2 linked regions of the Rhinolophus ferrumequinum genome follow. The protein of the gene in region 1 purifies or fractionates together with the protein of each later gene. This does not show direct contact. Links are inferred from orthologs where the notes say so. Each region holds a gene or a part of one and is shown on either strand. Other genes may lie near its edges. The genes, in order: CDC25A and CCNB1.

The links.
Region 2: the proteins of CDC25A (region 1) and CCNB1 purify together in Homo sapiens (affinity purification with mass spectrometry; 3 studies listed by BioGRID, with this or other methods). This does not show direct contact. The link is inferred for Rhinolophus ferrumequinum from reciprocal best matches to the Homo sapiens genes CDC25A and CCNB1.

Annotation. Positions count from the first base shown.
Region 1 is NC_046300.1:7,784,115-7,800,824, forward strand, and holds the start of CDC25A (M-phase inducer phosphatase 1), read left to right. Parts: upstream 1-8,930; 5' UTR 8,931-9,646; coding exon 9,647-9,816; intron 9,817-10,829; coding exon 10,830-10,903; intron 10,904-11,663; coding exon 11,664-11,706; intron 11,707-12,185; coding exon 12,186-12,222; intron 12,223-12,669; coding exon 12,670-12,771; intron 12,772-15,001; coding exon 15,002-15,121; intron 15,122-16,710. UniProt on the Homo sapiens protein: Tyrosine protein phosphatase which functions as a dosage-dependent inducer of mitotic progression. Directly dephosphorylates CDK1 and stimulates its kinase activity. Also dephosphorylates CDK2 in complex with cyclin-E, in vitro.
Region 2 is NC_046290.1:44,711,596-44,727,561, forward strand, and holds the start of CCNB1 (G2/mitotic-specific cyclin-B1), read left to right. Parts: upstream 1-9,401; 5' UTR 9,402-9,545; coding exon 9,546-9,566; intron 9,567-10,131; coding exon 10,132-10,302; intron 10,303-10,395; coding exon 10,396-10,548; intron 10,549-12,090; coding exon 12,091-12,273; intron 12,274-14,236; coding exon 14,237-14,395; intron 14,396-14,607; coding exon 14,608-14,844; intron 14,845-15,123; coding exon 15,124-15,264; intron 15,265-15,891; coding exon 15,892-15,966. Other genes in the region: proton-coupled zinc antiporter SLC30A5, read left to right, coding at 715-843, 1,455-1,625; 60S ribosomal protein L36a-like, read right to left, coding at 4,988-5,302. UniProt on the Homo sapiens protein: Essential for the control of the cell cycle at the G2/M (mitosis) transition.

The sequences.
Region 1 (16,710 bases):
GCCCCCCCAGGGCTGGTCAGGACCTCAGACTCTGTGGTCTGAGGCAGGCATGTATTTGAATCACTGGTTTGCCTCTCACTAGCTGTGGCTTCCTTTGAAAACTTCTGCTCTGGTAACCGCTCTTAGCATCAGGAGAGTACGAATCCAACTCAAATTGCCTCAAGCATAACTGAGAAGCTCAATAGGAGAACAGGAGAGCAAGCTGTAGAACTGGTCCACTTGGACTGGCCTGCTGGGTTTTTGTGTGGAAAGAGAAAGAAAGAGGGGGAGGCAAAAGGGAGAGCAAAAGAGAAGCCAGGTCAGGAATGGGCAGGAGACACTCAGGCTGGACCCTGGGCACTTTCCCTACGCCCACATCTAACCCAACAAAGAGGGTAGACAAGCTCAAGAGATGGGAGCAGACGGTCCTGCAAAGGCTGGCACAAGAGTCTTGCCACCACCTCCTTCACAACCTGGGGCTCCCACCTTTCCCAATTTCACTCTGTTTCCCTTACTAGTCTGATTGAGCCAGAATGTTCTTCCCCATTATGTTCTGTACTTCAAAGCCTCACCTCCCTCCACAGCCCCTCTGACAGCCAGGGCTGGACCCCACCCCTCTACCTTTGCAGGGCCCTCACCATCTGGCTGTCCATCTCAGGGGCCAGCCCCACCATCCAACAGCAGGCTCCCTGTGCAGCCAGCTCTCTCACCAGGAGCTCAGTCCACTGGAGCTGCTGGGATCCTTTTCTGTAAGCCAGCGGACCTCTGTGGGGCCTGCCTCAGTCCACCAGAGATAGTCTAACAATACTGACCCTCCCAGAGGGAAGGGTTCGGGGTCTCAATCAGGCTGTCCAATAGAACTTTCTGTGATGAAGGAAATGTTCTATATCTGTGCTGTCCAATATGGTAACCACTAACCACACATGGCTACTGAGCACTTGAAATGAGGCTAGTATAACTGAGGAACTGCTTTCTTCATTTAATTTAATTTTCATCACTTTAAACTTAAGTAGCCACATATGTGCAGGACAGTGGTGGAGACTCTTTCTTCCATGGCCTCCTTGCAAAAATTTCCTCCTCCTTTATAGCTTCATATTTCAAGTGTTTAGGCAAATGGATGGCCTTTGACAACCCAAAACAAGTTAGCCTTTCCCCACACAGCTCAGGGCCAAAAGGAAACTCTCAAGATTGGCAGAAGTGGGCTGTTGCCATGTCCACATCGACTTGAGAGAGAATGGCGCTCTCAGAGGGAGGCCTTTCTCCCAAGGCCATGCTCTGTATCACAAGTCCCACCGGAGTTCTGCTCCACCCCTCAGAGTGCAGCTCCCAAAAATGGCTCTTGCCCATCTCCTTTGATCCAGAGAACATCCTCTGGGATAGGCAGGGAGGATTGTGGTGCTATTGCCATTTCACAGATCAGTAAACTGAGGCTGGCCCAGAGCAGACAAAGCAACTTGCCTAAGACACCAAGCTACTAGGAGACAGACATGTAAGGCTGAGGCCCCGGTTATCCTCAGGCTCTCCTGGCCTCAGCTCACCCTTTCATCCCCACCAGTCCTTCCCTCCTCCCCCATCCAAGAGATAATGGCAGAAGGACAACAAGGAATCATTTTGAAAAGAGTAAGCTCTGACATTTATCATATAACCCAGAAATTCCATTCCTAAGTGCTTATCGTCAAGAAAGGAAAGCTTCACACAAAAAACTTGTACGAGAATGTGCATAGCAACTTTATTCATAATAGTCAAAAACCAGGAACAACTCAAACGTCGATCAGCAGGCTCCTCAAATTGTGGGACATCCACACAAGTTACTGGAAGGCTTCTCACTAGTAAAAAGGAACGAACTGCCAACATACGAGTACACATCTTGAATGAACCTCATAACCATGATGCTAGGTGAAAGAGGCCAGATGCAAAAGATCACGTATTGTATGGTTCTGTTTATGTGAAATTTCCAGAAAAGGCAAACCTATAGTGAGAGGAAGTAGACCAGTGGCTGCCAGTGGCCAATGTTAGGAAGATGAGATTGACCACAAAGGGGCATGAGGGAATGTTTTGGGGCGATGAAAATGTTCTACATCTTGATTGTGGTGGTGGGTACACAATTGTATACATTTGTCACAATTCATGTCATTACACTGAAAATTGTGAATTTTATGGTAGATAACTTATACCTCAGTTTTCAAGGTTGCAGAGTGAGGGGGTAAGTGCTGGCAATATGTGGGCCTATCTTTCCAAGAAGGAGCATTGTTCCTTCTCCCCAACACTCTGTGACAGCAGAGCCCAAGCTTACATGAACTGGGCCTTGGGCATAAAGGTGAGGAAAAGGAGCCCTGCGGCTGCTCCCTCCTAGCCCACTGGGGGGCCCTCTGAGTGTGCCCAGAGAAGAGAGGTCCAGGCTGTGCTAAGACCCAGCTTGGGTCAGGGGTAAGCCTTTCCCCTCTCTGTTTCCGTTTCCTCATCTATAAAACGAAGGTGGGGGCTGCATCAGACTAAGTGGTTACTTCTGGGATTTACCTCTCTTTTCACAGAACACATAGACATCCCAGAAGGCCTGGGGCATGCCTTGGAGCCTGGATTTTAGGCTCAAAGGATTGGAATGGGTCCACTCCCACCCAACTCCCTCTAGGGCAGCTATTGCTCAGGGCTGGAAAGGAACAAGTCCGGAAAACCACGACCCCTTCTCCCCACCCGCCATCCCCCCCAACACACCACCTTGCCTAACGTGGGCATTTGTCAACCAGCTAACAGCAGGATGGTGCAAGAGGCTCTAACTCAACCAGGATGGGAGGCAACCCCAGGAACAATTTCACCTCCCAGAGGCCCAGGATTGAGAAATACTGGGACAGGGCAATGATACCACAAGTCCAGCTTGCTGGTCTCCAGCCTCCAACACTGTGTTTCCTCTTCTCCTAGTACATTCTGTGGGGGCCACAGCACTCAGGTGTAAGCTGTTAAAAAGAGCTCAGCTGCTCCCTAGGACCTCTGACTTCCAGAGGAGGACCCCAGGAAACCTCATAAGTAAACTTGACCCTTTGAGATGAAGCCCTCCGTCCCCCCTGCTCCAGAACCTACTGAGGCTCTCTATTGCCTGTGGCTTTCTCTGCCCTCTGCTGTCTCTGACCTAACTCGGGCTTCATCACCTCTACTGCTGGGGAATCACCTCTCCCAGAATGCCCAGTGCTGGGAACTCACTTGCAGTGGTGTACATGACTGCAGTGTCACACACTCAACAGTGTCACATTAGCATAGGACGAGGGTGGGGGACAGCGAGGATCAGCAATCCTTTGCATTTCTTCAGTACAGTTATTTCAACTCCCAAAAAGTATTTACACTACGTGGTTTGTTCTCTCTTGCTAACACCTCTAGGTGGTAGACTGATCAGGGGTCATTCCTCCCATTTTCCTGAGGGGTAAAACAGACCCATAGTGGTCAAGAAGCTGACACGTAAGATAAAGGACCGGCAGAGGCTAAAAACAAAGGGTTGGGGTTCCTGGCCCTGAGCACGTTGCACGCTGCAAAAGGCCTTGGAAATAGATCCCCAACAATTGCCACGCATTCAGTTTTTCACATGTGCTTAGCTTCCGGTCCAAGTCCCTCTTATTACAGCTGTCTTTCCTCCCAACTCGCCTCGGTTCTTTCTAGAATATTCTCCTGGGAGACAAGTGCCCTCTGGCGGCCACCTCTGGTGCTGCGCCAATGCCCACCAAGGGGAAAAGTAGCCGAAAAATCCTCAGTCTTTTCAGGAGAGAAAAGGGACCCTCGGGACCTGCCTCACCACCCCAAAACCATAAATCCAGTCCATCTTCCATGAGGAAGAGGAGGAGGAAAGATGGGTTCTCAGAGGCCCTTGTAAGCCTCTGACTTCAGGATAACATTCAAATTCTTCGTCTTCATTCACTCCACAAACATTTTTCTTTATCACTAAGAACCAGGCTCTATGCTGCTGCTGGGCAACAGGTCGTGATGCCCCAGAAGAGCTTATCCAAGAGGTCCAAGGAGGTTCTTTACCCCTATGCCTGGTTGCCACCCTTGGGGGGCCAAATAATTTCCTCGATCATAACCTCTCTATAGCATCTTTTTTAAGGAGCAACTGGAGAGAGGGGGGAAATCTGGAGAATGGTGTCCTGAAAGCTCTGTGAAGCAAATGTTTCTAGAAGGGAGTGATCAACTGTATCCAGTGCTGTCATGGGTGGCTGCTGAGCAGAGGAAGACAAGGTGAGCGATTTGGACACTGGATTCAGCGAAATGAAGGTCCCTGGAGAACTTGCCAAAGGCCATTTCTGTGGAGTAGGGAGGTTGAATGTCTGATTGCAGTGGGTTCAAGAGAAAAATGGGAGGAGAGACATTAGAGACAACTCTTTTGTTTACTGTGAAGGGAAGGAGTACAGCTGGAGGGTCAAGTGGGGTCAAGGGAAATTTTTACTATTAACAAACATGTCATTGAAGTATACCATTCATACAGAAAAGCAAGCAAATCATGAGTGTGTAGCTCAGTGAATTTCCAGAGTGAACACATTCACATAACCAGTACCCAGATCAAGAAAAAATGTGGCAAGTTCCCAAAAGTCTTCCTCAGGTCCTCTTCCAGTCACCACCCACCCCAAAGATAACCAGTACCCTAATTTCTATCTCCAAGGATAAAAAAGCAGGACTTCCTATTTTTTAAAACTTTATGTCAATGGAATTAAATAGCATGTCCTCTTCTGTTTTGGGCTTATGTTCCTCATCGATTGTGAGGAGTGTGGGTAGTTCTTTCCTAAAGAACCTCTATTTACCCATTCTATTGTTGATTGGCATTTGAGCTGTTCTCTGCTTGGGGCTAAAATGAATAATGTGGCTATGGACGTTCATCTACGTGCTTTTTGGTTCGTGCATGAATCGGAACGGTACTGTACCTTCTGTGCCAAGCTTTCCTATGGCTACTTCCTCACCTCCCACCTTTCCCACCCACAGGACTTCCATTTGGCCACCTTCCGTGCACTTCTGGATCATGGATTGGCTACTCCCTCCCTTTGGTTCTTTCCCCAGCACCACCTTCATGGGCCCCTCTTGCTACATCCAGGCTTCAGGTGCTCCCCAGATGCAGTCTCCTAAAACACTCTTTGCATATCCTCAGTGGACATGACCATCCTCAGGCTAACGAAGCCCAGATCTTTTTGCCAATCCCAGACAGTACACAAACACAAAACTGAGTTCATCAAATTCCTCCAAGAACTATGCTGCCTGTTGTTGAAATAATGGTACTGCCAACCCAGATGCTTAAGTCATAGGAACCCTTCTGACTGCTCCCTCCCCTTCCCCCCTGCAACTCTCAATCATCAAACTCCACTGAGCTCCTCCTCCTTTCTGACTCCCGAGCTCCCTCCCTTTCTCTGTTGCTGAGGCCCTCCATCTCAGCTCAAGTTTTCTCACCCAGGACTCTTTGGCTAGCCCCCTCCTTGTTCCTCAGGCTTCCCCACTCACCCTCATTGATCCACCCTGCGGCAATTCTGATCCTGTATCACCCACCCTCCTCACCCTCCACAGGATGAGGCTGAACCCCTCAGTAGCCTCTAAGTCCTTCAAGAGTTATCCCTCCTTTCCAGTTGGGTCCCTCACAACCGCTGCATGTGCCCATTCCTGGGACTGAGAAGTCATTCCCAGAACATGCTCTGCTCGCTATCTGACTTCTGAGGGCTCTTTTGGAAGAAAGCGCCCCACCTCACTCGCCTCAAATTCCTCTTTTCCCCGCAACCTAAGCCTTCAAGCTTCAGCAGCTTTAATCTCCCTTGGGAAGTCGCCCCTCTCCCACCCCTCCAGCCTTTCCCATCTCCACCCCCTTCCCCTCCTCCAGGTTCCACCAACCCTCCACAAATTATCACAGCAATTATCACAGTGATGGTTCCATTATTATAAGGAATGTTCTGTGAGATAGTATTTGGCAGATGTGAGCCTTCGGGGTAGGAATTGTGGGCTTTTATTTCAAGCACTGGGTTTGTCTCAGTGCACAATGAATAAACATTTGCTGAATGAATGAATGCAAGAACAGTGATATGGAGCCAAATACTAAAGTTCACAAAACAGAAGGAGATAGGAGAGAAATTTTTCAGAGGTTTAATGGAGGAAAGTATTTCAAATAGTGCACACAGTGAGGGTAGGCTCCGCAGACCGTGGGAACTGTGACAACTGAGAGGATTAAACAGCCTGAGGCTTCTGGAGGGGCGGGGTGGTCACGGCTGGAGCTTGAGTGCTTGTGGGGGAAAACGGAGGTGAAGCAGTGTTCCTGCCTCACTGTGAAGGAATTAGTGTTCTGAGCCAAAGGTTTTAATCTTCAGCCTGTCAGCCATTGTTTTGAAAGGAAAATGGGCACATGTAAAACATTAAATAAAAAAAGAGATGTTTCTTTTTCTACAGAAAATAAATCAGTCTTATAAATTAATGGGAAAGTTTGGGTTTTTTGGGGTTTTTTTGCTTTTGTTTTTAACAAGGGGAATCCCTTCTTCAAACAAAATATACAGGGCACTCCAATACATAATGTAGACTTAAAAGCCAAGTTTTTATGGTTATCAGGGAGTGGCAGGGAACAGCCAGGAGCTCTGCTGGGGTACCTCACTGAAAAACACAGCTGCAGTCCACCTCTGTCACCACTCACAAGTGGAAAGAGACGCCTGCTTTTCTCCTCTGCGTCATCTTCAACTGGCCACCATCTCATAGTAGGATCTTGTAGGATCCCTTTCAAACTGGCATGCCAGTGCCACCCTTGTCACTCTCTAATCAACTTTCCGCTCTGGAGCCAGGGTTATCTTTTAAATATGTAAATGTAAACCTTGCCATTGTTTCCCATTGTCCTTGAGATAAAGTTCAAGTTCCAGAATGCCGTCTCCAAAGTCCCGCAGATTCTGGGTCTCCCCAACCTCCTCTACTGCTTGTTCTCTGCCACACACGGGACTCCTTCCAGCCTCAGAGGCTTTGTTTAGGGCAAATCCCTATGCCCAGGGCACTCTCTTCCACATCCTTAGGACTTCCCTACTGGTCACTTCCTCAGGGATTCCTTATCAGATTCCCTTCCTAAACACTCTCAAAGAATTTCCACTTTTTCTCTGCAGCACGTATTCAATCTATTTGTACTGAGGGGTCTCCTAACCAGGCACTGGGTGATACTAGAGAAAAGGAAAGGCAGGGTCCTTATCCTTTTGAGTTCATAGTCATTCGGGCTGACTCACCCCGATTAAATAATCACAGAAACAAAAGTAAACATGGGGTGCCTGAAAGGTGGATAATAACAGGAGAATGTATCAGTTAGGGTGTCTGAGGGTAGAACTTTCCTTGTTAGCTGAGTGAAGTGGGTATCGGGGTGAGGAGGATGGCCCGGCATTCTCCAAAGAAGTATTGACTGTTTGGATCTAGCAAACTGGTTGGCTCGCAGTGGAGAATGAATGAATGAATGAATGGGCAAAAATTGACTTGCCCCAAGGCGGAAGCAATTAGAACTCAGACCTTCCAATTCACAGTGCAAGACTCTTCCCTTCCCTTAGTGAGAGTTTGCCTAAGTGAATCGGGAAAAGGGTTTAGTTAAGTTATGCTTTTCCTTTCACGCCATTTCACAATTGAAGATGGCCCCAAACATAATAAAAAATCACACTCAACATTTCAACCTTTAAAAAGGAAAAAACAAACAAACAATGGTTCTCTGACATTTCTGACACCAAGTTTGTATTCCAATATTTGGACCTACTGGTGGAAATGCTTTGGTATGTTAATCCCCTTGGGTCATCCCACTCAGGGAATGTCTGCTCAGGCAAGAAGGGAGGACTTTCCATTCCTTTAACCATGACACAAATATTGATTGCATATTTACAATGCATACACATATAAAAAGTTCAAAATGTTGACAGTTTTTTCTTTGAAGATGGTAGAATTACAGATGATTTTTAAAATTATACTTATCTCTAAATGTATATATATACATATGTGTATATATGTATATATATATATGCTTTCTAAGGCTATAATTATTTTGCATTATTTGTATAATACAAACCTTTGAAAGCAAAAGCTTTTGAAAGAAACGTTAAATTTAATGAATTTAATGGTAGCCCCTAAACAGAGGTAGTGGTCATAATCACCAGACACCTAAAGTAAATACACAATCTAGTTTTTTTCTCTAAACATGCTGTCTGAAGACAAGTCCTCTTGCAGCCTGATTGCTGTACCTATACACCTCTTATAAAATCAGTCATTGTAGGAGCCGTCACTGGTACAGGAGATAGAAAAGTAATTATGGTCACTTACAAAATGGGGATAATTCCTCTTTCATAGTAGTTTTAAGGAATAAATGAATAAAGCACTTGGAACAGTGTCTGGCATATAAGCACTATATAAGTCTTCGCTATTATTAAATACATGGTATTGCTATCTAGGAGCTCCTCGGTTAAGAAAAGGGTGGGAGAGAAGGAAATGATTCTCAGAAAATATAGTAAGAGCTAAAATGCAGTTGAGCAAAGAATGCTGAGCCCCACAGCCCAGGCCCGTAGACTTCAAGTCTTGTGCGGTCAGCAGTTCGAGGCCAGCACAGCCCTTAGGGTCTTCAATGGCCGGCTTGACATGAGCGTTAGCGCTTTGGAATTGGGACCTGGCGTTGGGGGCGGGGCAGCGCCCAGTACTCGGGTCATTCAGTTCCCTTCCTCGTTATAAAATTGGGGCGTGGACGCCCAGGGCGGAAGAGAGAGGCCCACAACACTGCAAGGTTATAGGTCGAGCCAAGGCTGGGCTCGGCCTGGCCTCCCTGTGGCCCGACAGCCTTCTCCAGCCTCCACATTCTCTCAGCGTGTGGGGGGGGCCAGGCGGGGTGGGGGTGGGGGTGCGATGCAGCCGTAGCCCAACGAGGGTAGGTGAATGGCTTGCCGCGCGGGGTGGGAACTACGCTTCCCAGCATGCAACCGGTAAGAGCGGCCTTTGGGTCTCGACCCGCGTCTCGCAGGTCCTCCTGGGAGTTTTCATTGACCTCTGAGCCCCATCTCCCTCGGATCAGCTCGGGTCTCCCTTAGTCCCCGCCCCTTTCGGAAAGCGGATGACTTCGCAGAGTCCCACGAGCTGCTTCCTCCTTCCCACTCTTATTGGTCCAGCCTAGCTGCCATTCGGGAGCAAGGAGGAGAAGTTTCTTATTGATTGGTGGATTCCGTTTGGCGCCAACTAGGAAAGGGGGGCGGGGCAGCGGCGGTCTCCAGTGAGCAGCTATTACCGCGAAAGGCCTTCTCCTGGCAGAGACAGCTCAGCCGGGAGGTGAAAGTCGGCTTGGTTCTTTGAGATCCTGGGTTGGGCAAGGGAGTGAGAGAGAAGCGAAGAGAGTGTGAGCCCGGGCCGTTGCCTCTCGGCTCTCCCTTCCCGACCTGCCGCGTTTGTTTGGATTTAATCTTCAGGTTGCGGTCGCCCGCCTGCCCGCTGGCCTCGCGGGGTGAGAGGGAAGCACCCGTGTATGTGGCTGGCGCCTGCCGGGTCCGGACACCCGCCCGTCCGCGCAGCTTGCCCGCGGCAGCCGCGTCCCTGAACCGCGGGGTCGTGTTTGTGTTTGACCCGCGGACGTCGGCGGCGGGGCGCGCGGCCGAGGCCAGTGCCGGCGGGGCGGGGCGGGCGCGGCGGAGGCGGAGAAAGAGAGAGCGGGAGCCCTGGGAGGCCTGGCGCAGCCATGGAACTGGGCCCGGAGCCCCCGCACCGCCGCCGCCTGCTCTTCGCCTGCAGCCCCCCTCCCACGCCACAGCCCGTCGTGAAAGCGCTGTTTGGCGCTACAGCCGCCGGAGGCCTGTCGCCTGTCACCAACCTGACGGTCACCATGGATCAGCTGCAGGGGCTGGGCAGGTGAGGAGGGACAGATGAGCGGTGCCGCAGACCGCTGACCTCCCAGACCGTTCTTGGGGTGATCAGGCCTGGAGAAGGGCCAGACCTCTTCGCCACTTGGGGACGGCCCCGTCTGGCGGGGGCTCACCATGTGCACCCTCCCCCCAGGCGGAATGTTGGGCGGGAGAGGCCGTTCGGACCCTCCAGGGCCATCCTCAGTCCCGAGCCAGGCCTGCTAGGGTATGGGGGCGGCCCCAGCTCCCCACCTTAGCCACCCCTTTCGGATCGCCCTGTACTCTTCTTCTGTCGCTGTCCCAGGAAGCTCTTTGAAATCTACCCCCACGCGGGAAAAGCAGGCCCTCCTAGGCTCTCACTTCCCCCTTTGCTGAATTACTTCGCCCGGATCTTAGTTTCCTGTGAGCTTTGTTCCTTCTCAACAAAGGGACGTGGCATTTTCTATCCTGGGCTTTGTGCAAAATCATCGCAATCCCTCGACCTCCCTGCACCTTCCTGATGTCCACCCCATGCATTCCTAAAGCCAGGCCTTTTTACTCAACTTTCCGTACTCAAAAGCTCTCTGGACTTCTCTTTATAGAAAAAAAAAAAGAAATCCCACAGTGTTTGTGGTGAAGCTGCTTTCTCTTCAATCTTGGACATCTCATATCCTAAGTGAGCACATGTGTGGGTTTTGCAACCTCTTAGAAGCAGGAACTTGTCCTATTTTTCATCCCTTCTCCCAGCACAGTACCTAGAGCACATGCTCTCATTTTAGGAAATACACCAACATTCATCATAGTCATCCTACCCTACAATGTGACCCAGGCCAGGCCTACCCACCCACTCCTTTCTCATCTTTTATGCTTAAGTGCTAGCTACCTGGGTGTTCTGGGTGGCAAAGTGTTGTGTGGTGTGGTCTAGAAGTAATGATAGTTGATGGTAGCCTGGCCACTTGCTAACCTCATGGCCTGTGTCCTGTATGTAACCTTTTAGTTATATCCTAGAAATCCAGAGAGAATTGTTTCTTTTGGTTTTAGTGAGTATGAACAGCCACTGGAGGTGAGAAACAACAGTTTGCAGAGAATGGGCTCCTCTGAGTCAACCGATTCAGGTATTGTTTTAAATCCTCCACATTTATCGTGTGTCTGCTGGGTGGGGAGCAGTCCTTGGCATTGGAGGAAATGTGCTTTCACCTAGGAACTTTATGTGGCATTGTGGCAAGGGAGAACATTAGTCAGGAGTTAACAGCTAACTTCCTCGTCAGGCTATCTAGACATCAGGGAGGAAAGGTGTGCGCTCGTCTGGCTCTGGTGAGTCTGGGTGGCGCTGAGCAGTGTCTCCTCCACCTGCTACCTTTCGGGAGATGGGCACCTCACTTGGTGTTATTTTGTTGAAGGCAACAAATACTTGCCTTGCTTGTCATGACATAATTGTATTTCCTACATCCCCAAGTTATGCATATGATCTGACAAGATAAACTATTTGAAATCAAAACTATTTCAGAAAACTGGCCCTACCAGAATTTTCTTTCCATGGTTGGAACTCAAAGAAAGTTACTGGGTAACCTCTACCTGAATACCCAAACAATCCTGAGAAGGTTCGGATTAATTACTCTCTTCAAATCCTGTTTTCCTTGATGGTATTGGCAAGTAGGAAAGGGGGATTGGTAGCTATACATGAAATATTAAGACTTGTGCAAATATGAAGTTTTTGACGATCAAGTAGAGACTCAGTTTCAATGCTGGCAAACCGTCCAAGCCTTGAGTTTTTGTTGACCGGCTCAGAGAAACAGTGCTAGGAATTTTATTTATTTAAATAGCAAAGTAGTGTTTCATGTAGGACTTCCTGAGAGACATTTTTATTTCCCACAGGTTTCTGTCTGGATTCTCCTGGGCCCTTGGACAGTAAAGAAAAGTATGTACTCACTGCTTTTAAATATGCTTGAAAAAAACTTTTTTAATTTTTTGAATGCAATTTGTTGTGCTCTGGACTGGCGCTCTGGATTTAGCTGTCCCAAGTAAAACTGGATCCTATAAACAGTCTGGTATCTTTCGAGAATCAGTAGTGTGTGTCAGCAGTTTTCAGAACTTCCCTTCCTTTATTACAGCTGTAATTTGAAGTTCTGTTTGAGTCTCACCAAGCCCTGGCCCCACTCTAACAGCCTTAAGAGAATGTGCATATTTTAAGAGAAGACCTGGGTTTGTTTTTTTTCACCTTGAAGCCCAGTGTTAGGTGCGCTTGTGAGAACAGGAGAGCATCAGAAATCTGTTCTTCCATCTTGCCTAAAATGGGAATGTTTGACTACCCTCCAGACTGTAGGTTAGACACTGCATCTTCTGATATGACTACCTCTTTGCTTTATTGTCATCATTTACCTTTTGATTTCATTGCAGCCTTGAAAATCCTATGAGGAGAATAAATTCCCTACCTGTAAGTTATTTCCCTTGTTTAATTTGAAGTAATACCTATTGTTTGCCGATTAGATACCAGCATGACTTTGATGGTAAACCTTAATGTAGACAATGCTTTTCCTTACTCATAAGCACTCAAATACTCCTAAAGCTTCAATAATTGTCTCTTGTGGGCTTTCCCCATCATCTCTAATTATCAGAGTTTTATCAAAGTAGGAGGGGTTCTTTTATGCAAATGATGTTATGTGGGGGTTGGCAACCTTGCAGGGTTAAATTCCCATCTAGTGGGAACTTATATCCTGTGTTCTGACAAGGTAGAGGCCTGGCCACATGTACTGTGGTATGTGAGGAGCTAGGCCTTCCTATAACCGCCATTTTTTTTCTTTTTTTTTTTTTTTTGCTTTTGAGAACTGAGTTGCCATTGGATTTTTATTTATGTACCCTAATTCCTTTTTCACTTTGATAGCAAAAGCTCTTGGGGTGTAGCCCAGCTCTGAAGAGGAGCCATTCTGATTCTCTTGACCATGATGTCTTTCAGTTGATGGACCAGGATGAGAACAAGGAAAACGTGAGTGTAACATGTTTGTACTAACCTAGGGCAGAGGTAAAACCCACAAGTGCCATTGGCTTACAGAGAAGTGTCTGAGCTGCTTTCTGGGAGACTAAACTTTCATCAACGTTGGAGTCAGAGAAACTTGGATTTGAATCCTGCTGCTTTCTAGATGTGTGATCTTGGCGAGTTCTTTTTTCAGGTTTCTTTGTTTCTTTATGAAATAGGAGTAACCCTACTTTGTAGAACTGTTGTGGGAATTAAATGAGATAACGCAGATAAAGCATTTCAAATGGTTCCTGACAGGTAGGAGTTGCACAGGTGGTAGCTCTTAGGAGTAATTATATCCATGAACAGTTTATCTGGAAGGTTCTGCCCAGGTCTTCCTTTCCTTTTTTTCTCCCCGCTTCTTCTCCCCCCCGCCCCCCACACACACACACTCCGGTTCAAGCCGTTGTTTCTCAGTCTAGTTGTGTAGGACACAACTTCCTGGCCCATGCTGGTGTTAGGAGCCTTGTGCTCCCCCCCACCCCCGTCGTCGGTCCGCTCCTCACAGCAGCTCTCGCTGGCTGCTGGCCGCTCTTGGCAGCACACAGCAGCCCACGGCTGCTCATGCTGTCTGCCACTCCTGGCGGCCCACCGCAGCCCATGCCAACCTCCAGCAGCTCACGGCAGCCCAGCTCCAGGGAGAGCTGTTGTTCACAATCTTAGCTGTAGAGGGCGCAGCTCCCTGGCTCAGGTGGGAATCGAACCCGCAACTTCAAAGTTAGGAGCACGGCCACCTGGCGTTAGGAGCATGGTGCTCCAACCACCTGAGCCACCGGGCCGGCCCTCCTTGCCTTGTTACATTGACCCGGGGTGAGTTGTAAGTTAGGAAAGGCTGCTTGACAGTATTTGAAAGAACAGAGCTAACAAGTCTTAGGGAATTTCAAAGTAACTGAAATGGTAGCTTAGAGCGGGAGCTTGTGGTTGTCCACCCAAAAGTCCAAGAATGCCTTGGCCTGGCTTTTCTCTCACACCTGGCAGGGTGCCTTGCACAGAGTAGGCATCAAGATAGTTAAATGAATTAGCTCAACTTTTCCAGTCTTCTTTCTCACTATATTTCCATATCTGTTCTCTCCCCTTTTCCATTCCCTGATAAAATGCTATAGTTCACAATCCTTACAATCTTCCAGACTTAGTATAAAACCTGCTGCCTCCACGAACTCTCCCAAGGATTCCTCTAGCAACTTGTGCAGTGTCCTGAGGAAGGATATAGAAATGAGTGCCTGCCTTGAGTGCTTGGAAGGCTGCATCAGCCTCTGTGTAGCGCTTTCTACCAAATAGTCCAAACCTGTACCCATGCCTGATCCAGCCCCACTCCCACCCCCCCACCCCTCCAAACTTGGCTTGTCTGCTTGGAGCTTTGTTCTGGAGGGGAAACGGCAGAGGTTAACGAGCTTTCACTCTGGAGTCGTCCTGTCTGGCCGTGAAGCCAGATCTTAGGGAAATTACTTAACCTGTAAGGACTAATTTTGTCTTCTGTAAAGTGGGGTTGATCAGGCTGTAGTTGATGGTTAATGAGCCAATACACAGAAAGTGCTGTCCTGTGTTGACATATACAAGCTTTCTGAGCATTTAGTAACGAGTTCTTAAGTGGATATTTTAGGGTAGGGGGATTATGAGTGCTTTTAAACTTTAAGTAAATGGGATCATACGGTGTGTATTCTATCACTCCTCACTTCTTTCACTCAGCGTTATGTGAGATTCGTACATGTTGTAAACCAGTAGTTTTTTGTTCCCTATTGCTTTTAGTATGGAATACAATAATTTTAAGTGGAAAAAAATTATCTATTGGAAGGAAGAAGGTAGAAAATATAAAGTCCTCAAACAAATCTAGAGTGAAAAGTTCTAGCTCCCATTCACAGTCATTGAAAGGACTTTGCTTTAGGTTTTAGAAAGTTGTTGATTCAGCTTATAACTCAGTGTTTTGTGTACTTGGCAGATACTCACGTGTTTGTTAGGAAATAAAGCGTGGTGAGAGAAAAAGTGCCGTATTAGACGTTAGCTGTTGACAGAGTCATTGACATTCTTCGTTACACAGATCCAGTGTTGGAGTTAGATCAGAAGTTGGTAAACCCTTAGTTTGGAGGCAGTGACGAAGGTGCTCAGTGCCCGCTCCCTTGTCTGTCTCGTCTAAGCTATAGCTGAGGCCCCAGCGCTGGTTTCCATGGACAGCGGAAGATGTTTCGACTCTACTGTCTTGCAGGAAGCCTTTGAGTTTAAGAAGCCAATCAGACCTGCGTCTCGTGGCTGCCTGCACTCTCATGGAGTTGAGGAGAGTAAAGATCTCTTCACACAGAGGCAGAACTCTGCCCCAGCGCGGATGGTATGTGCTCCGGCTTTCATAGGGAAGTTCCTGGTGGGAAGAGACTTAAAGCACCCTCTTTAACCTGGAGTTGAAGACACTCTAGTAGCTCTCGCTGTCGTTACCTTGACTTTGTCTTTCGAAACTAGATGGTCACATTTTTGGTGTTTTGCTGCATCTGGAGAACAGAGAGGTAGAAGCAGAGTGAGAGGTGGTATGTTTGAAATAATATTGGACTTGAGCAAGGCTTATTTGACCCGGTTGATTCTGGGGAAATAATCTGCAGGCATTCTGGGTCATTCTTCTGTGTGTATGGTGCGATTATATGTCTTACTTAAAACTTGCTCTTTCACAATGCATCCTAAGTGCTAAGAGGTACTTCCCAGAATGGGAAGAGAGCAGAGAGCGCTTGGCTTTTTCCAAAGGTGATTTATTAAGAACCGTTGTGGATTTCAGTGAACCTAGTGCCGGTAGGCTGCTTGAAAGCATTTGGGTCCACTTGCCCCAGGGTTATTTATTTGCCAGACAAAGACTGTCACTACTTTCAGAGTTTCCTACTGGTGATCTGACAGCTATAGACTAGAGAGGCCCAACTTGAGCAAAATGACCACCTGGTGTCCAGGTTTTCCTGGGAACTTGCATCTGAAAATACAACTTTCCAGACTGACTGGTAGTCTGAGGTGTGGGTTCCTCCAGTATTGCTGTCTAGCGCTTGCACAGAGCACTTTTCTGTTTTCTTGTCTTTAATCTTCATAAGCCTGTGAAGTAGCTGGCACTCCCCCATTTTACAGATTGGGAAAGTGTTGCCAAAGGACACAGATACACAGAAGACCAGTATTTAACAACCTCCTGATTCCCAAGTACACAGTAACCCATTGACAGCTGGGTCGCCAAACTAAGTATGTTTAGTGTACGTGTGCTTGAAGCCAGTGTTTCCTGTGATCTCTTGGCCATCCCTAACTGTAGCTACTGAGGGTACAAACTGAAAGAAAGCGAGTGTTAATCTTACCAGTTTGGCTTTTGATCATGTCAGAGGGTGTTTTGTATCTTTGCTTTTAGTCTCCAAGTGCCATCTATCTTTCCTCATAATGGCTTCTTGGTGTAGGAATCTTGGAGAAAGAATTAGGTCCCGCCCAGAGATTTGTCCGTCATTTTCTATAGCACATCTGCACCTGGGGATCTGAGGCCCTAGGTCACAAAAACTGATGTTCTCACATGGCGTGAGTATTCAGAGGGTGTCGCCCCGCAATAGAGTCACCTACCCCTGGGTTCTGCTGGCTGCAAAGCTGCCAGTGTGCCCAGGGCGTGCCCAGGTGCACTTGGGGAGGATCAGGAACAGCCCGGAACTTGTACCTTGTGATGAGAGTTAGTCTCTGAACCAGAGTAGGCCAGCTGCAGACAGGATTCCTAGGTGAGCGACCCGCCCGCAAAACCAAAGGGCCACTTGAGGAGTAATGCACTCATGCCCCAAGGGGATTTGGATCTGAAGGATGTTTGTACGACTCACGTGGGGACCCCTTGTTACTGTGGGAGAAAAGAAAAATCTACCTCGGAACTTTTTACCTGGCTTTGAAAAAGCATGTGGAAAAGAAATACAGTATCAGCAATGC
Region 2 (15,966 bases), on another chromosome or scaffold:
ATTTCAAAATATGTCTATTACAGAAAACATCAAAATATAAAAAGAAAAGTACAAAAAGGGATGGGGAATCACATATAATTCCACCACCTGGAAAGAAACACTTTTAAAAGTTGTTTTTCTATATAAAAATATTTTGAAAATGAAAATGGCAAATAAAAACCTGTTTTGTGCCACTTTTAAAATTTTCCCCCATTATGTCATGTGATAATCTAATACATTTGTAATGATAATGTAGTGATACATTTTATGTAGTGATACATTTTAGTGATAGTTTATTATTTAACCAGCCCGTAGTTGTTGAACAGGGAGGATGTGTTTTGAATGTGTTAATCGCTATATAACAAACAATATGCAAATATGTGTATAAAGGAAACCATGTAGTTCTTTAAACGTATCCACTGTTTAGAATACACAAAATACATCTTATATAGGTGAAAACTGGTGTGCACCTGTTCAGTATGGAGACACCTGTAGCCCGTTCACTTCCTATTCAGAGCTGCCTTCCTTGGCATCACTCCTAGGTCAGAATACTTTAGGCACCTTTTTACTTTGGTTAATTGTCCCCCTCCTCTACTTTTCTCACTTCTGGGCTCTCCTTATTATCACTTTTTTAATAATCAGCTTAATAGTGGTTGCTGGACCAAAAAGATTGCGTGTGTTAAGTAAATTATAGCCTTTAAGTCCATTTATATCACCTCTCCTTTTATTTGACAGATACAGAAAATTGAAGGATTAATATCATATCGAGACCCTCATTTTTGGCGTCATTCTGCCAGTATTGTGGCAGGAACAATTCATATACAGGTGACATCTGATGTGCTGGAACAAAGAATAGTACAGCAGGTAATAATCTTTTGTTTTTACAGTAATTTCAGTTGAGGTAATTCATGCATAAAATTACACACATTATAAAAGTTATACAGCTCAATAGTAATTTAACTGCTTGAAAATATCAGTCTTTCAGCTAAGGATATATAACTTATTTTTTACATCTAGATTTGTTTTATATCCAGAAGTGGTTAAAATAAAAATCAAGTTTTAGTATTTAGAGGATAAGCTTAAGTTAATGTAAAAAAAATTCATTTATGATCCACCTTCATTCACAATAGAGTATCGAGAAATGTTATTATAAATGTAGCCCTAAATTAATAATACTAAAGTTGGCAGGGGGTATGCTATGGTTGGAGATAAGGATCAAAACAGTTCCTGTATCCCTCGTCTAGATATACATAATTGGAAACAATAGCTATTTTCCTTTAATACTTTGAATGTGAGATCAGAATTTACCGGTCTTCTAAAAATATCCTATCTAACATTTGCCAAATAAATAATAAACATTATTTTGAGGATTTATCTTTGATTCTCTAGCTATAAAAATGTGTTACCAATTATTTAAGACATGTGCATTAAATGCATAATCTAAATGCTTTAAAATATATGGATTTTTATAACAGGTTACAGGAATACTTAAAGATGCTGGAGTAAACAATTTAACAATTCAAGTCGAAAAAGAGGCATACTTTCAACATATGTCTGGCCTGAGTACTGGATTTAATGATGTCCTGGCTATGACAAAACAAATGGAGTCCATGAAATACTACAGAGATGGTACTTACATCATGTGAGATAACTCGGGAATTCCCCCTGGTGTGTGAACAATGAAGATTAAAATGACTCAGTATGTATAATATTGACCGAAGGAAGAAAATTGCACATAATTGTATAGAAACATTTGCCATATTTGAAAAAAAGTGTAAAGCTTCCTACTGTTGGATCAAAGAATCTTTCTTAAAGGAAATTTAAATACAGAATGAAGCATTAATTGTTCAAGTAAAATAATTATTTGCATTATGTGTATAACAAGAATCGTAAAATTTTAATGAACATGATGTGTCACATCACCTTTGATAATGAACATAATGATGGAATTGACTGAAGACCAAAATTACTTCTGTGTTTACTTTCTGTCAGAAAGCATCTCCATTGTAAATAATGTATTTACGTGTTTATTACAAAGACCCAAATGAAAAATTTTTAGTCAATTTTTTGCATAGCCTTAGGATAAAATAGGAATAAAAGTTCTATATTTATGGATTTTCTGTATATAAAACTGGTTTCTAATTATAACTTAAATCCATTAAGTAAAATCTATACTGCCACTTGAAATGTAAACTAAATTATTTGGGAACAACTTCAACCACTGATATGAGATGAGCAATGAGAATAGGGAAGTATAACATTACAATTTTTGATGTATTACAAAAACCAACCACTCTGTAAAATAAATTTTTTACTTTTGATAATATTTGCAAATGAATAATTACTTTATTAGGGTACAGAACTTATACTAAGTTGTGTCCATGTTATGCATTCACTTGTCTTCTGCCTCTAAAGTAGAATATTCCATTTCTTATTACGCATCTGGCATTCCTAGTTGCCTATCAGGCTGGTATCCAAGCAATGCTAGGCTTTTCATCTTTTCATTTAGCTCCGTATGTTGTGGAACAGCCAGTTGAGAGAATCACAAATAATTAATTGAATTTTCTGCCTATAAATGTAATTTTTTTTTAAATTTCTGGAACATCTAAATATATAAGAAATCTCAAAGGTAGTTATTTTGAGGTTTAGTAAGTAAAGCTTATCCATAAACACTTGGGCACCATGAAATCAAAATACTTAACCTTATAACTACTTTCTATAGTAATATCTAATTTATATTTTTTAATTTCCAATTTAAACTGAATGTATTGTCTCAAAAGACTGTATGATAGTTATATGATAATATATGCAGTTTTATAAAACCAAAGAATGTTGTCCAAAAGAAACTTATCTCTACGAGAATCTGAATATTTTCATCCTTATACTAGAAATTTTGATAAATAGGATGAATTAATTTTAGTATGGGTACTATTTTTTTATCTATACCATAATGGCAAATGTGTATTGTAAATCATATTTTTGTCTTACTAATTTTACTATGTGACAGGTTTAGAAATTTATTATAAGTTATTTTGATATTTCTTGTCTTCTCTTTACACACTATCTGGTCCAGAATCTTCTATACACATTAAAATTTTTGAGTGGTGGGAAAATAATTGCATATTGATTTTTCAATGCAATTTTTATACATGAAAAAATTTTTAAGTTGGTAGGCACAATAAATACTGCACCATCATTAAAATTGTCATTTCTCTTAGAAGGCATATAAACAGCAGGAAAATTAATGTGACTGAGAAACCAAGATGAGAGCAAAGGCAGGGGCTGAACATTAAAGGGGTGCAGGTGGAAAGTAGGGAAACTCCAGTATTGAAGAGCACCAAGGTACTAGTTCTAGCTCATACAAACCATGACTTTAGGCAAATCAGCCTCTCTGGGTATCCTTTTTTTTCTTCATACATAAAGTCAGAATAAAATATGCTCAAATTCACAGAGTTATGAGGAGCAAAAAGAATAATGTATGTGAAAATGAAAATTGAAAAGGGTTAAATAAAGTTAAAGAATTGTTATTATTTTAAACCTGACTTCGGAGGTTTTTTCTATTGAAATCAGTACCTAAGAGATTAATTAGATATTAAGTGAATAAGTAAACTTAAAATAATACCCAAAACAAGCCTATTTCTAGTTTGACCCAAGAAGCGTGGTGGTGGTTGCTTAACACACCTGTTAGTTTCTCTCCTTCCCTTTCTCTCCAACCATTGTTTTCCATTATTACCAATTTAGGAGCTCATGATTTCCCCTTAGAATAAGCTTTACATATTTTATAATATAGGTATATTGTTCCTTTTACATGATAATTGATCAAACTTTAAACTTTTCTAATTTCAGCACAAAAATAAAGCTATATATAATTAGATATCTCTAACTATAAAGGATTCTGGTTTTACTTTAAATTTAGATTATGATTCTCCCCTAAAATATTAATTCAGAGATGCATGTTTACTAGTTAATAGTTACATGGTCAAAAATTTAGGGGCAGCCAGCTAGCTCAGTTGGTTAGAGCGTGGTGCTTTTAACAAGGTTGCCAGGTCGATCCCCACATGGACCACTGGTGAGCTGCACCCTGCACAACTAGATTGAAACAACTACTTGACTTGGAGCTGATGGGTCCTGGAAAAACACACTTAAAATATATAAAAGTTTAAAAAAAAAAATTTAAAAGAGTAAATGACAAAAACCCTCCAACCTGTCAATCATACACAGATCTCTAAAAATTACCACACTTGTCAGTTTCCAGTATACTCTTCAAGATTCCAGAGTTTATGAATATACAAGCAAATACATGTATGTATTATTTTTTACTTAGAAATTATTCCATAGTTGAAACATTATAAAGCATCCTCATTCTTTTTCTTAGCTGTATACTAATTCTACTGATGGATTTTTTTAGGTTGGCTCAAATCTTTTGCTATATGGACAATGCTGACACGAATAGCCTTGTACAAACATCATTTTGCATATGTGCAAATAAATATGTAGAATACATTCCGACAAGTAGAATTTTGGAAGCAAAGGGTTTAGGACATTTATAAATCTAAAAAAATATTGCTAAATTGCACTTCATAGATTGTCACAGTTTAGCCTCCCAAATAGAAATTTTAAGGCAAACATTTCTTATGGCCTTAATTTGTATGCAAGTTAATTATGCAGAGATTATATATAGATGCCAAACTGAGTTCAATTATAAAACCACTAATGTTTATTTCAATTTTAGAGTGGTTTTTCAAAAGGAAAGTGTTCTAGTAAATAATGTATAATAAAACTAAAAGGGTAAAGTTGGATTTTTTTTAATCAAATTTTTTCTACATCTTGTTTCTTCTATCTACAGCAGTTTGACACAGATGGTCAAAGATGGTTATATGTTGTGCACATACATTGTCCTGTTACTTTTTTTTTTTTTTTTACGAGTAAGAATATCACTGCATTTATTTTCATACAGGTATTTTTCTAAAGCTTCAACATTTTTTCTCAAAAATAAGAAACCCAAAGCTTAGAACTGGATCACTTGGCCCTTTCTCTTATATCCTCCCAGTTCAAAATGCTTGCATCTCTTAATGGCCAGCATCCTCTTGGATCTGCAGTGAGGCTCAACACATTCAAGCCTCAGCACAATCTTTGTGGTTTTAGCCTTCTTCCGGAAAATCGGCTTTGTCTGCCCACCATAGCCACTCTGCTTCCGATCATAGCGCCTCTTTCCCTGGGCATACAGGGAATCCTTCGCCTTCTTATACTGGGTCTCTTTGTGAGGCTGATGCTTTCCACACTTCTTACAGAAAGTCCTTCGGGTTTTAGGCACATTGACCATCTTTACAGTAGAGATGTCCACACGGTAAAAATGGGAAACTCAGCGTGTAGACTTACCCTCTTTTGTGATATTTTTATTGAGGTATACATAACATACAATAAAATACGAAGATCTTAAGTGCTCAGTGCAGTGAAGTGGTGATGATACGGAGTAACTGAAACTCAACATAGTGCTAGTGGGAGTGTGAAATGATGCAGCCATTTTGGAGAACTGTTTGGCAATTTCTTTTAAAGTTAAACATATATCCACCCTGTGACCCAGCAGTTCCACTCCCAAAGGTAATGGAAAAGTGTGTCCACAAAAAGACCTGTAGAAGAATGTATGTATTCATGATAGCCAAAAACCAGAAATAACCCAAATATCCATCAGGAGAATCGATAAATTGTGGTGTATTCATAATGGAATTTCACTAAACTACTCAGCAGTTTAAAAAAATTAGTTACAAACAATACAGGTGAATCTCAAAAACAAGTTCAGTGAAACATGGCAGATACATGCTGTATGTTTCCATGTATACGAAGTCCAAGAACAGAGAAGACTAATCTATAGTGATAGAGCACAGAAAGTGGTTTGTATTAATTTTCTATTGCTGTCATAACAAATAACCCAAACTTAGTGGTTGAATACAAACTTCTCTTACAGTTCTACAGAAGTCCAGTATGGGTCTCACTGGGCTATAATCAAAGTTGCTGCAGGGCTGCATTTTTTTCTGGAGGCTCTAGGGGAGAATCCATTTCCTTGCTCATTCAAGTTGGTTGAATTCAGTGTTTGTAGGACTTTGTAGGACTGAGGTCTCAGTTTCTTTGCTAGTCTTCTCAGCTTCTAGTGGCCACTTGCATTCCTTGGCTTGTGACTCCCTCTATCTTCAAAGCCAACAGTGGGTCATGTGCTTCCCCTGCTCATCTCTCTCCTGCCCCTTCTTCCACTGTTGCATCTTTCTCTGACCACCTCTTCTGCCTTCCTCTTCTTTTAAGTGGTGACACTGGACCCACTCAGGTAATCCAAGATAATTCCCTATCTCAAGGTCTTCCAAGTCCCTTTTACCATGTAACAGTCATCTTCACAAGTCTGGGCATTAGGGCAATGACATCTTTGGGGGGTTGTTATTCTGCCTACTACATAGTTGCTTGGGAAGACAGAGTTTCTTGAAAAGGAGTGGAGACGTCTTTTTTAATAAGTCTAGTACCCATATGATACCATACATAGTTATCAAAATATTGACTACATTCCCTATGCTGTACTTTGCATCCCCATGACTTTTTATAACTGGCAATTTGTACAGATCATTCCTATCATTGAGCTTTCACAGGCTATTTTCTCTATGTGGAATGCTTTTTTCATTTAAGCCTCAGCTTAAACATCACTTTCTCGACTGTCCCTGACCACCTCCAGAGTAGCTACCAAGTCACACTGTTTGCAACACTTTCCTTTCATTCTCTGCCTACCACTTAGTACTAGCTGATTTTTTTCACTTTATTTAGTTATTTACTTGTTTCATCTCTCTTCTACTGGAATATAAGCTTTTATGAAAGCAGGGATCTTATCCATTTTATTCAGAGTTGTATTCCTAGCACCCAGATCAGTGACTGGTGTGTATTGTTGACACTATTAACTTGGCCAGGAGAGAGAACACTGAGTAGTTCACTGAGGAGAAAAGTCAGAAGGTTGTAAGTGTTATAAAGAAAGGAGGTGATCCATGGTACTTATGCTAATTAAGCATAACTACCATGTTTCCCCAAAAGTAAGACCTAACCGGAAAATAAGCCCTAGCATGATTTTTCAGTATGATATCCCCTGAACATAAGCCCTAATGCATCTTTTGGAGCAAAAATTAATATAAGATCTGGTCTTATTTTTGGGGAAACATGGTAGCATTCTTAATAAAAATTAGTTGTACATAGTTGGCAAGATTTCTCAAGCTTCACACTATTGAACTACTGACATTTTGTGCTGGGTAATTCTTTGTGACTGTGTTTGGGGAGTGCGGGCTGTCTTGTGCATTGTATGATGTCTGGCAGCTTCTATGATCTTCACCCACTAGATGCCACTAGCACCCTCCCAGTTGTAACAATCAAAAATGCCTCCAGACAGTGCCAAATATGCCCCGTAGGATAAAATGTCCTCCAATTGAGAACTACTGGGTTAAAAGAATTTCCATTAGGCAATGGTCAGGAAGGGGTCGTCAATTAAGTCTGGTAAAGGTCTGGCATCCTAGGGTCATTCAAAGTTTGTTTTTTACCAACTCATGGCAATGAAACAAGAGTTTCAACAGTTCCTAACCAAGTGCTGCTGTGAGGGAATATGAAACGTAGGGAGAAATTTGATGGTCTCAAAGTATCTCCACACAGACAACATATTAGTTGCAATTTTTAAAAAAGTAAACGTACAATGAAGAAATCAGGCAACATCTTAACCAAGTGACCAAAATTAATCTCATTTATGACGGACAAACATCACGTGTCTGCAGTTGATCCCCTAAGACCATGATGTTACCTGTGTCAATTTTCGTAGAGTATGAATGAATTTATTGAATGTTTTAAAAAATTATTAAATCAATTATTTTCTTAAACAAGCTTTCCATAACTGTGAATATTAATATTGACAGATTTATGTACTGTACTTGGTTGCAAGGGGAGACCTGTTTGGCCTTTAAATTCAAATGGTAAGTAGCCATAGAAAGTGAACCAATATGTACCTGAAAAATTTTAGTCTGCATTACTGAAATAGATGTTAAAGCAAACTTAATATGTGATAACAGCAGAGTACTAGAAGAAAAAAAGCATGAGATGATTATGTAAAGTGCTTAATATAGTGCCTGGCACATAGCAGCTCCTACATAAATAATTACTAGAAAACTATAAAAACACTTTAGAAGATACTTAAAAATGTGTAAGTTAGATTATAAAGATTTTGACAGTCATATACACCTGTGCAACAACCTCAATTTAAATCACAAGAAAATACCAAGTACAAAAATAAGAAAGTTCTATTTTTAAAAAAGTGGCGGGGGTACTGTATTCTTCAAAAACATCAATATTATAAAAGATAAAGAAAAGCTGTAGGAACTGCTCTAAATTAAAGGAGGCTAAAAAGACACGATAACTAAATATAACATCTGACCCTAGACTGGATCATGTACTAGCAGAGAAAAAAATGCTATAAAAGATATTATTAGGTCAACTGACAAAATGGAATATAAACCAGGTTGAATAAAACAATAAAGTACATTTTGAAGTTATTAACTGTATGTGGTTAGGTAAGAGAATATTCTTTTTCTTAGGAAATACGGCAGAACTGAAGGATAAAAGTTATGATATATATAAACACCCTCAAGTGTTTCAGGAAAAATAATTTTATACATAGTTTATACATATATAAAGTAAATCATGAAGCAAATGGAGTAAAATGTTAAGGATAGTTGAATCCTTATCACATTTTTGTCTGCAAGTTTTCTAAGTTTGAAATTATTCTCAAATAAAAAATTAAAATAAAAACATTGGCTTGGGGAAATAACTTGAAGTAATCTGGTAGATTAAGAAACTGACGATATTCTTATCAATTAGGTTGTAGAAACATCATGAATCAAAAAAAAAGAAATTACCTACATTTAGTCCCCACGTTACTAACTTGTGATCCTGGGAAAATCACCTAAAGCTTCTCTGGGCCTCGGTTCCTCCAGAGTGCTGTTGGAAAAGATCAAATAAAACATTATATATCAAAGCCTTTCAGCTACACACCGCTGCAGACGAAGACAGTGTGTAACAATAAGTAGGACTAGAGCCACAACTGCTTACGCTTCTCCAACTGCGGCTGCTCCACCGTTACTTCTCTCAGGGCACAAGGCCATCCCCCTCGACTACATCCGGCAGCGCACAGTTCGCCACACCTCGCCGGTCCAGGTGGCAGCCGCAAATGCCCGAGAGCGCAGGCGCGAAGCCAAACCAAGTGAGGGCGTGGCCGCAACCTCTCTCTGGCCCCACCCCTCTCGTACGTCTCCGCGGGATCGCCCTAGAAACGCGTTCTTGGGGAAACCGACAGCCGCCAATAGGAAGGAAGCGAGTGCCACGAACAGGCCAATAAGGAGGGAGCGGTGCGGGGTTTAAATCTGAGGCCGAGCCCTGCATCTCCCGGCGTGCTGCGGTGGAACGGTTTTTGATCTGTGTTGATTTCAGATCCCCGGCTCGTCCGGGGCTCCCATTCTCCTCTTCTCCCCACTGAGCTGCTGCCTGGTGAAGAGGAAGCCATGGCGTTCCGGGTCACCAGGGTGAGCTGCTGCGGACAGTGAACAAACGCAGCCTTTCTCGCTGTGTATCCTCTCCCTATCTCGCTGGCCGGAGCCATCCAGCCCCGCGGGACCAGGGCAGAGATTTGGGGAGCATAGGGTTGTCGGTAGGCACCTGGCATGGTGGGGTAGGTGGCCAAGAGATCTGGGTTGGCCTGTTTGGGGGGAAATGGAGGGTCAACAGGAAATCTTTCCTAAAACGTGGAGGGCTCTTTTGTGGGCTCCCACCACCTGCGTAAGGTCCTTTCTGGAGAGAAAGAAGGTGTCTGCAGTTGGAGGCCTTTTTTCTTTTCAAATGTAAATTAAGGGTATTTTAGTGTCGGTCGGGACTAAACGTGCTATCCCACCGTAGGCGAGCGAAGAGGTTCTAGGAGGAAACTGACTTTTCACAGTCTTAGCGTAGACCCTGGAACCGGGTTTCCCCTCGTAACTCATTTACAGCCGACTTCCCTCCCGAGAGCCTCTCTTTTGCCTCATCTTAATTAATCCCCTGTGACTTACTGCAACCTGGCTGGGCTAGCTCTCAAAGAGGTCTTGCTTCTTTCAGAACACGAAAATTAATGCTGAAAATAAGGCGAAGATCAGTATGGCAGGCGCAAAGCGCGTGCCTGTGGCCACTGCTGCAGCCTCCAAGCCCGGGCTGAGGCCAAGAATGGCGCTTGGAGACATCGGTAACAAAGTCAGTGAACAGCCACAGTCCAAATTGCCTTTGAAAAAGGTAACTATCCTGATCCAACTTATCTGTAAAAGTCCACCATCCAACTGTGACCTTGGATGGAGCAACATTCCATTCTCTCCCATTCATCCACAGGAAGCAAAAACTTTAGCTGCTGGAAAAGTTGTTGCTAAAAAACTACCAAAACCTCTGGAAAAGGGACTCGAGCCCATGCCTGTGCTGGAGCCGGCGCAAGAGCCAGAACCTGAGCCCGTTAAAGAAGAAAAACTTTCGCCTGAGCCTATTTTGGTAAACTTATTTTAGAGTCTTGATTGTTTCTTTTCCCTCATTTTACTTGAATGCATGAAATAGCATTTGAATAAATAATAGTAACATAGAGTGTTCTGCTATGTACTTTAAATGCATTAACTCATATAATGTTGTATTTTCTTAGCTGGTATCTTGCTTTTTAGATAATGGCTTAGAAAAGTATTACGTATTTCCTGGAGTCATATCTAATCGGTGGTACATACTGGATTCGAACCCAGACTTGTCTGGCTTCGGAGCCTATGCTTTTAATCTCGTGTATGGTATTGAGTAGTAGTTGCCTTGATCGAAGATTTTGCTGTTTTTGGTACAAGTCATCTCTGACCAGAATTTATTGACTGAAACACAGATTGTTCTCTTGAATCTTTTTACTCACTAATATGACCACTGAATAATTAGTAAGCCTGTAACATTGTAATATGTAAAGGTGTAAAGCAGAAAGAAAATGTAGCACCTCAGAGCAGGTAAGATAATGAACAGCTTCAGAAACCAAGAACTTTCTATTAAATACCAGGTAAATTTTTCTACTGTGAAGGAAAAACAGGCCCTTTAGAAGAGGCTGGTTTGATGAAATTGGAATGAACTGCCTTATGAAGCTGATTTTTAAAACTTAATAAAACCATTTGGGAAAATCTGTAAAAGTCATTCAGCCTGGCTCCTTATATCTAAGGGTAAAAGATTTGAGGCCATTGTTTTAGTACTGACCTTCTGGACATAGCACATGAAACCTGTGCAATGCAAAGTCTTTAAATGACCATACCAAACTACCTGAGGTTTCCTTGCAAGTCCCATAATGATTCTTGTCTTTGCTTTCACACTAGTTAAAAATGTCTTTCCCACTTTCTTCATTTAGCTAATAACCTTTTCATCCTTCAAAACAGCTCAAGTATCAACTCCTGAAACTTTGCCTAACTTCTCCTAACCCTTGTTCCTAGAATCAATCTCCTTACCTCATTTACTTCTCGTCTAAAATCAAAGCCCCTTGAGGATATCAAAAAAATCAGTGCCTAGGACAGAGCTTGACTTGAAAGTGCTCAATAAATGAAAAATGGGGTAACTAGAGCTTGAAGGAAATGGTTAATGAGGTCAGTTAATAATGAGTAGTTAGGACAGAACTTGTGTTCTCCTGAACAGTGAGAATCGGTCCATGTTTTGAAATGAAAACCAAAGACTGACTTGCCATTTGTTTGAATTAACTTCACATGACACTGATCAACAGATTTATTACTTACCAGTTTCCTTTGGAGGAAAGTCCAAAATGTGAATTTATTTGCTTCTCTGTTTTACCTGTTAGTGTTTAGGTTCTGCTGACTTCAAATTGGCTCAGTCAAGTTGGCATTTCAATTTTCATACTAATCACTTTCTAAAGAGAAACTGAATAAATCTGAAAATACTTTTCCTTTCAGGGAATGAATTATGACTATTCAACAAATGGTATCTTGAGTTGGTACCAATGATCTGACTTTTATTCCCAGATTGTATGCTCTTCTTTGCTATTATTTCAGAAGGTCTCTTTATTTTAAGGTTGATACTCCCTCTCCAAGCCCAATGGAAACATCTGGCTGTGCCCCTGCCGAAGAGTATCTGTGTCAGGCTTTCTCTGATGTACTTCTTGCAGTGAATGATGTAGACGCAGAAGATGGAGCCGATCCCAACCTTTGCAGTGAATATGTGAAAGACATCTATACTTATCTGAGACAACTTGAGGTCAGTATTATTAGGTTGGTATAAAAGCAATTGCAGTTTAAAAGGTTAAAAATATTTGCAAAAACCGCAATTACTTTTGCACCAAACTAATAGAATCTGTTTTTTTCTAAACTGCATCTAGCTTTATTAATTTATTAATTTTATTAATTTATTAATTTTCCATTAATAATTTACAATAATTCAAGCAGGATGTGAGCAGCATTTCTTAACAGTAGGTTCCATTTTCAAATTCTCCTTCGTGGAATGCCAAAAATAAAAAGTAAGTAAACAAACCAATGAAATCTTTGCCATTATGAACAGGGAAATTTCAGTGAGAGTGGATACTACCATGGCTCTTCCTGAAGGAAAGTCCACAGATTGAATGATATATTTATATCCATCACAGAAGCAGACAAGTCCCAAATTCTGCGTTTTAGGAGGACAACAGGCAGGAGGTACATGGTAAAGAAGAATGTGCTTGAAAAATAATAGTATCCGCAATATAAGGCATTTGGGGTCAATGTGGCTGATATGCATGCAAGGACATTGTTGTGTCAAAGAGTACACTCAAAAACTGAAGTTTTTTTTTTGGTTTTCTTTCATCCCACTTTTGAAACTTTCTATTAATGGCATTTCTCCCCCACCAAAAAAACACAAAACAAGGAAGTATTCTGTATGCTAACAACATAAACTATACAGTTACCAGATTCACAAAGTTTTTTATAATGCATTTTCTTCTCTTGGTATCATTAACATCTTCAGTCTCCTGCTTGTTTCTGTGGAGCATCTCCATTTTCTACAGGACTGTCCTACAAGACTTCCTGGCCAGGACCAACCTCCTACTTTGAGTTTCTTCTCCCTTCTTTTGAAAGTTTGTGTTCTAACTTTAGAGGAGTAGGTTTAGCAGATATATGTGCTGGTCCTTGGTGGTTCGTTCTCCTCCTTAACTATGGTGTCTTGGAGAAGGAGAGTGGTAGCACGTGGGTTCCAGCAGATCTGAGAGCTGCTTCTATTTTTTACTTCGTAAGGCTCTGGGTCTGCATATAGAGACTTAGGTGAAAAGATGGGAGATGATAGTGTGATTTCTTTATTTGGGAAGAAGTGGGTACAGGGTCTGGATCAGTAGCGGTGATACTGAATTGATTATAAGATCTGCCAATATGATAAACCTGTCACACTATCCTACTTAATGTTTTTGTGCTTTCTTCAGTGATAGAGCTGTTTGTAGTGACCATATGAATAATTGAGTTAAAAGACTATTAGAGGGCCGGCCCGGTGGCTCAGGCGGTTAGAGCTCCATGCTCCTAACTCCGAAGGCTGCCGGTTCGATTCCCACATGGGCCAGTGGGCTCTCAAGCACAAGGTTGCCAGTTCAATTCCTCAAGTCCCGCAAGGGATGGTGGGCTCTGCCCCCTGCAACTAAGATTGAACACGGCACCTTGAGCTGAGCTGCCTCCCGGATGGCTCAGTTGGTTGGAGCACGGGCTCTCAACCACAAGGTTGCCAGTTCGATTCCTCGACTCCTTCAAGGGATGGTGGGCTCTGCCCCCTGCAACTAAGATTGAACACGGCACCTTGAGCTGAGCTGCCGCTGAGCTCCCGGATGGCTCAGTTGGTTGGAGCACGTCCTCTCAACCACAAGGTTGCCAGTTCAACTCCCGCAAGGGATGGTGGGCTGTGCCCCCTGCAACTAGCAATGGCAACTGGACCTGGAGCTGAGCTGCGCCCTCCACAACTAAGACTGAAAGGACAACAACTTGACCTAGAAAACAGGCCTGGAAGTACACACTGTTCCCCAATAAAGTCCTGTTCCCCTTCCCCAATAAAAAAAAAAAAAAAAAAAAAACATGGTCTTTGCATCTTTAAAAAAAAAGACTATTAGATATTCTAAATGCTCCAGAGCTGTTCTGTGTCACTATTATTTCTGGTCAGAAATGTCACATTGGAAACTTGCTTCTAATGATAATCAGCATTTCTTTTGCAGGAAGAGCAAGCAGTCAGACCAAAATACCTACTGGGTCGAGAAGTCACTGGAAACATGAGAGCCATCCTAATTGATTGGCTAGTGCAGGTTCAAATGAAATTCAGGTTACTGCAGGAGACCATGTACATGACTGTTTCCATTATTGATCGGTTCATGCAGGTGAGCATAATTCAGTAATTGAGGATTCTCCCTTCCAGGGTCCTAGCTGAGTCATAAGATACAGACCTTTTCAACTAAAATCTGTTTGGGGGGATAGGGTGTCACTGAGACTTTGCTATGCGAATATGTCTTTTTCACTTTTCCTTCACAGCTCTGTGTCTCCTTTTTCAAATATGTATTACTTATTCAACCAGTTGAAATTCCCATTGCAGAATAATTGTGTGCCCAAGAAGATGTTGCAGCTGGTTGGTGTCACTGGCATGTTTATTGCGAGCAAATATGAAGAAATGTACCCTCCAGAAATCGGGGACTTTGCCTTTGTGACTGACAACACTTACACTAAGCTCCAAATCAGACAGATGGAAATGAAGATTCTAAGAGCTTTAAATTTTAGTCTGGGTCGCCCTCTACCTCTGCATTTCCTTCGGAGAGCATCTAAGATTGGAGAGGTATCGATTTCTTCAGAAACCTCTGATATGGTACCATAGAGAATACTGCTGACCAAGCAGATCTAATTCAACTGACTTATATACCTAACTTCACAGGGAAGAAATAAATAGTTATTTCTAATCAGGCTGTATATTAGTATCATTAAGGCATTCCATGGGCAATTGCACCTGAGAGTTTTTAGACAAACATTTTTAGTTATAGTTATGGGCATGCTGGTTATTGCCAAAGCAGAATTTTCAGACAGAAAAGCTCAGTGACCTGTGTGAATTTTGTTCCAGGTTGATGTGGAGCAACATACTTTGGCCAAATATCTGATGGAACTAACTATGTTGGACTACGATATGGTGCACTTTCCTCCTTCTCAGATTGCAGCAGGAGCTTTTTGTTTAGCAATGAAAATTCTTGATAATGGTGAATGGGTAAGCTCTGCCCCACAAACCTAAGTTGCCCTAAGCGTTTACATTGTAAATAGTGTTTGCCTGAACACAGAACTGTTTTCATTAAAAGCAATTCAAATGGTTCCAAAAAATGACATCCACTGAGGGAGTGATTAAAAAATGATACCTACTTTGTGATGTCTTCATGGAACGCTTTCATTTCGTTACCTAATTTCATCTTTCTATATCCCTTTGAGAAAGGCAGAGTAGCTGCTACTCCTTAGAGAATTTCAGGCAGATCGGATGACATAATAGTTCATTCATATTCATTGATCCAACAAATATTTCTAAGTGCTATATACTATCCTAGGCCCTAGGAATAAACCTCTGAATGAGAAAGTGGCCCTCAAGGAATTTGGAGTCTAGCTTTGGTGTGGGCAAGTCAGTAATTACAAAAGTGTATAGGTTTGAGCACATTAGTATATAATACATCTAAGCACATGAGCCTAGAAAAGCATGAAAGAACACCTGGGGAATAAGCTTGTCTTAAATTTCAATTAATAATCAATCATACAGTATCCATCTCCCTACCCTACTCTTGAATAACATCTAGAAACTTTATGAAAACCATTGTTGATGAGCATTTTTAACATTAACTCTTGTTCTTAGACGCCAACTCTACAGCATTACCTGTCTTACACTGAAGAATCCCTTCTTCTTGTTATGCAACACCTGGCTAAGAAT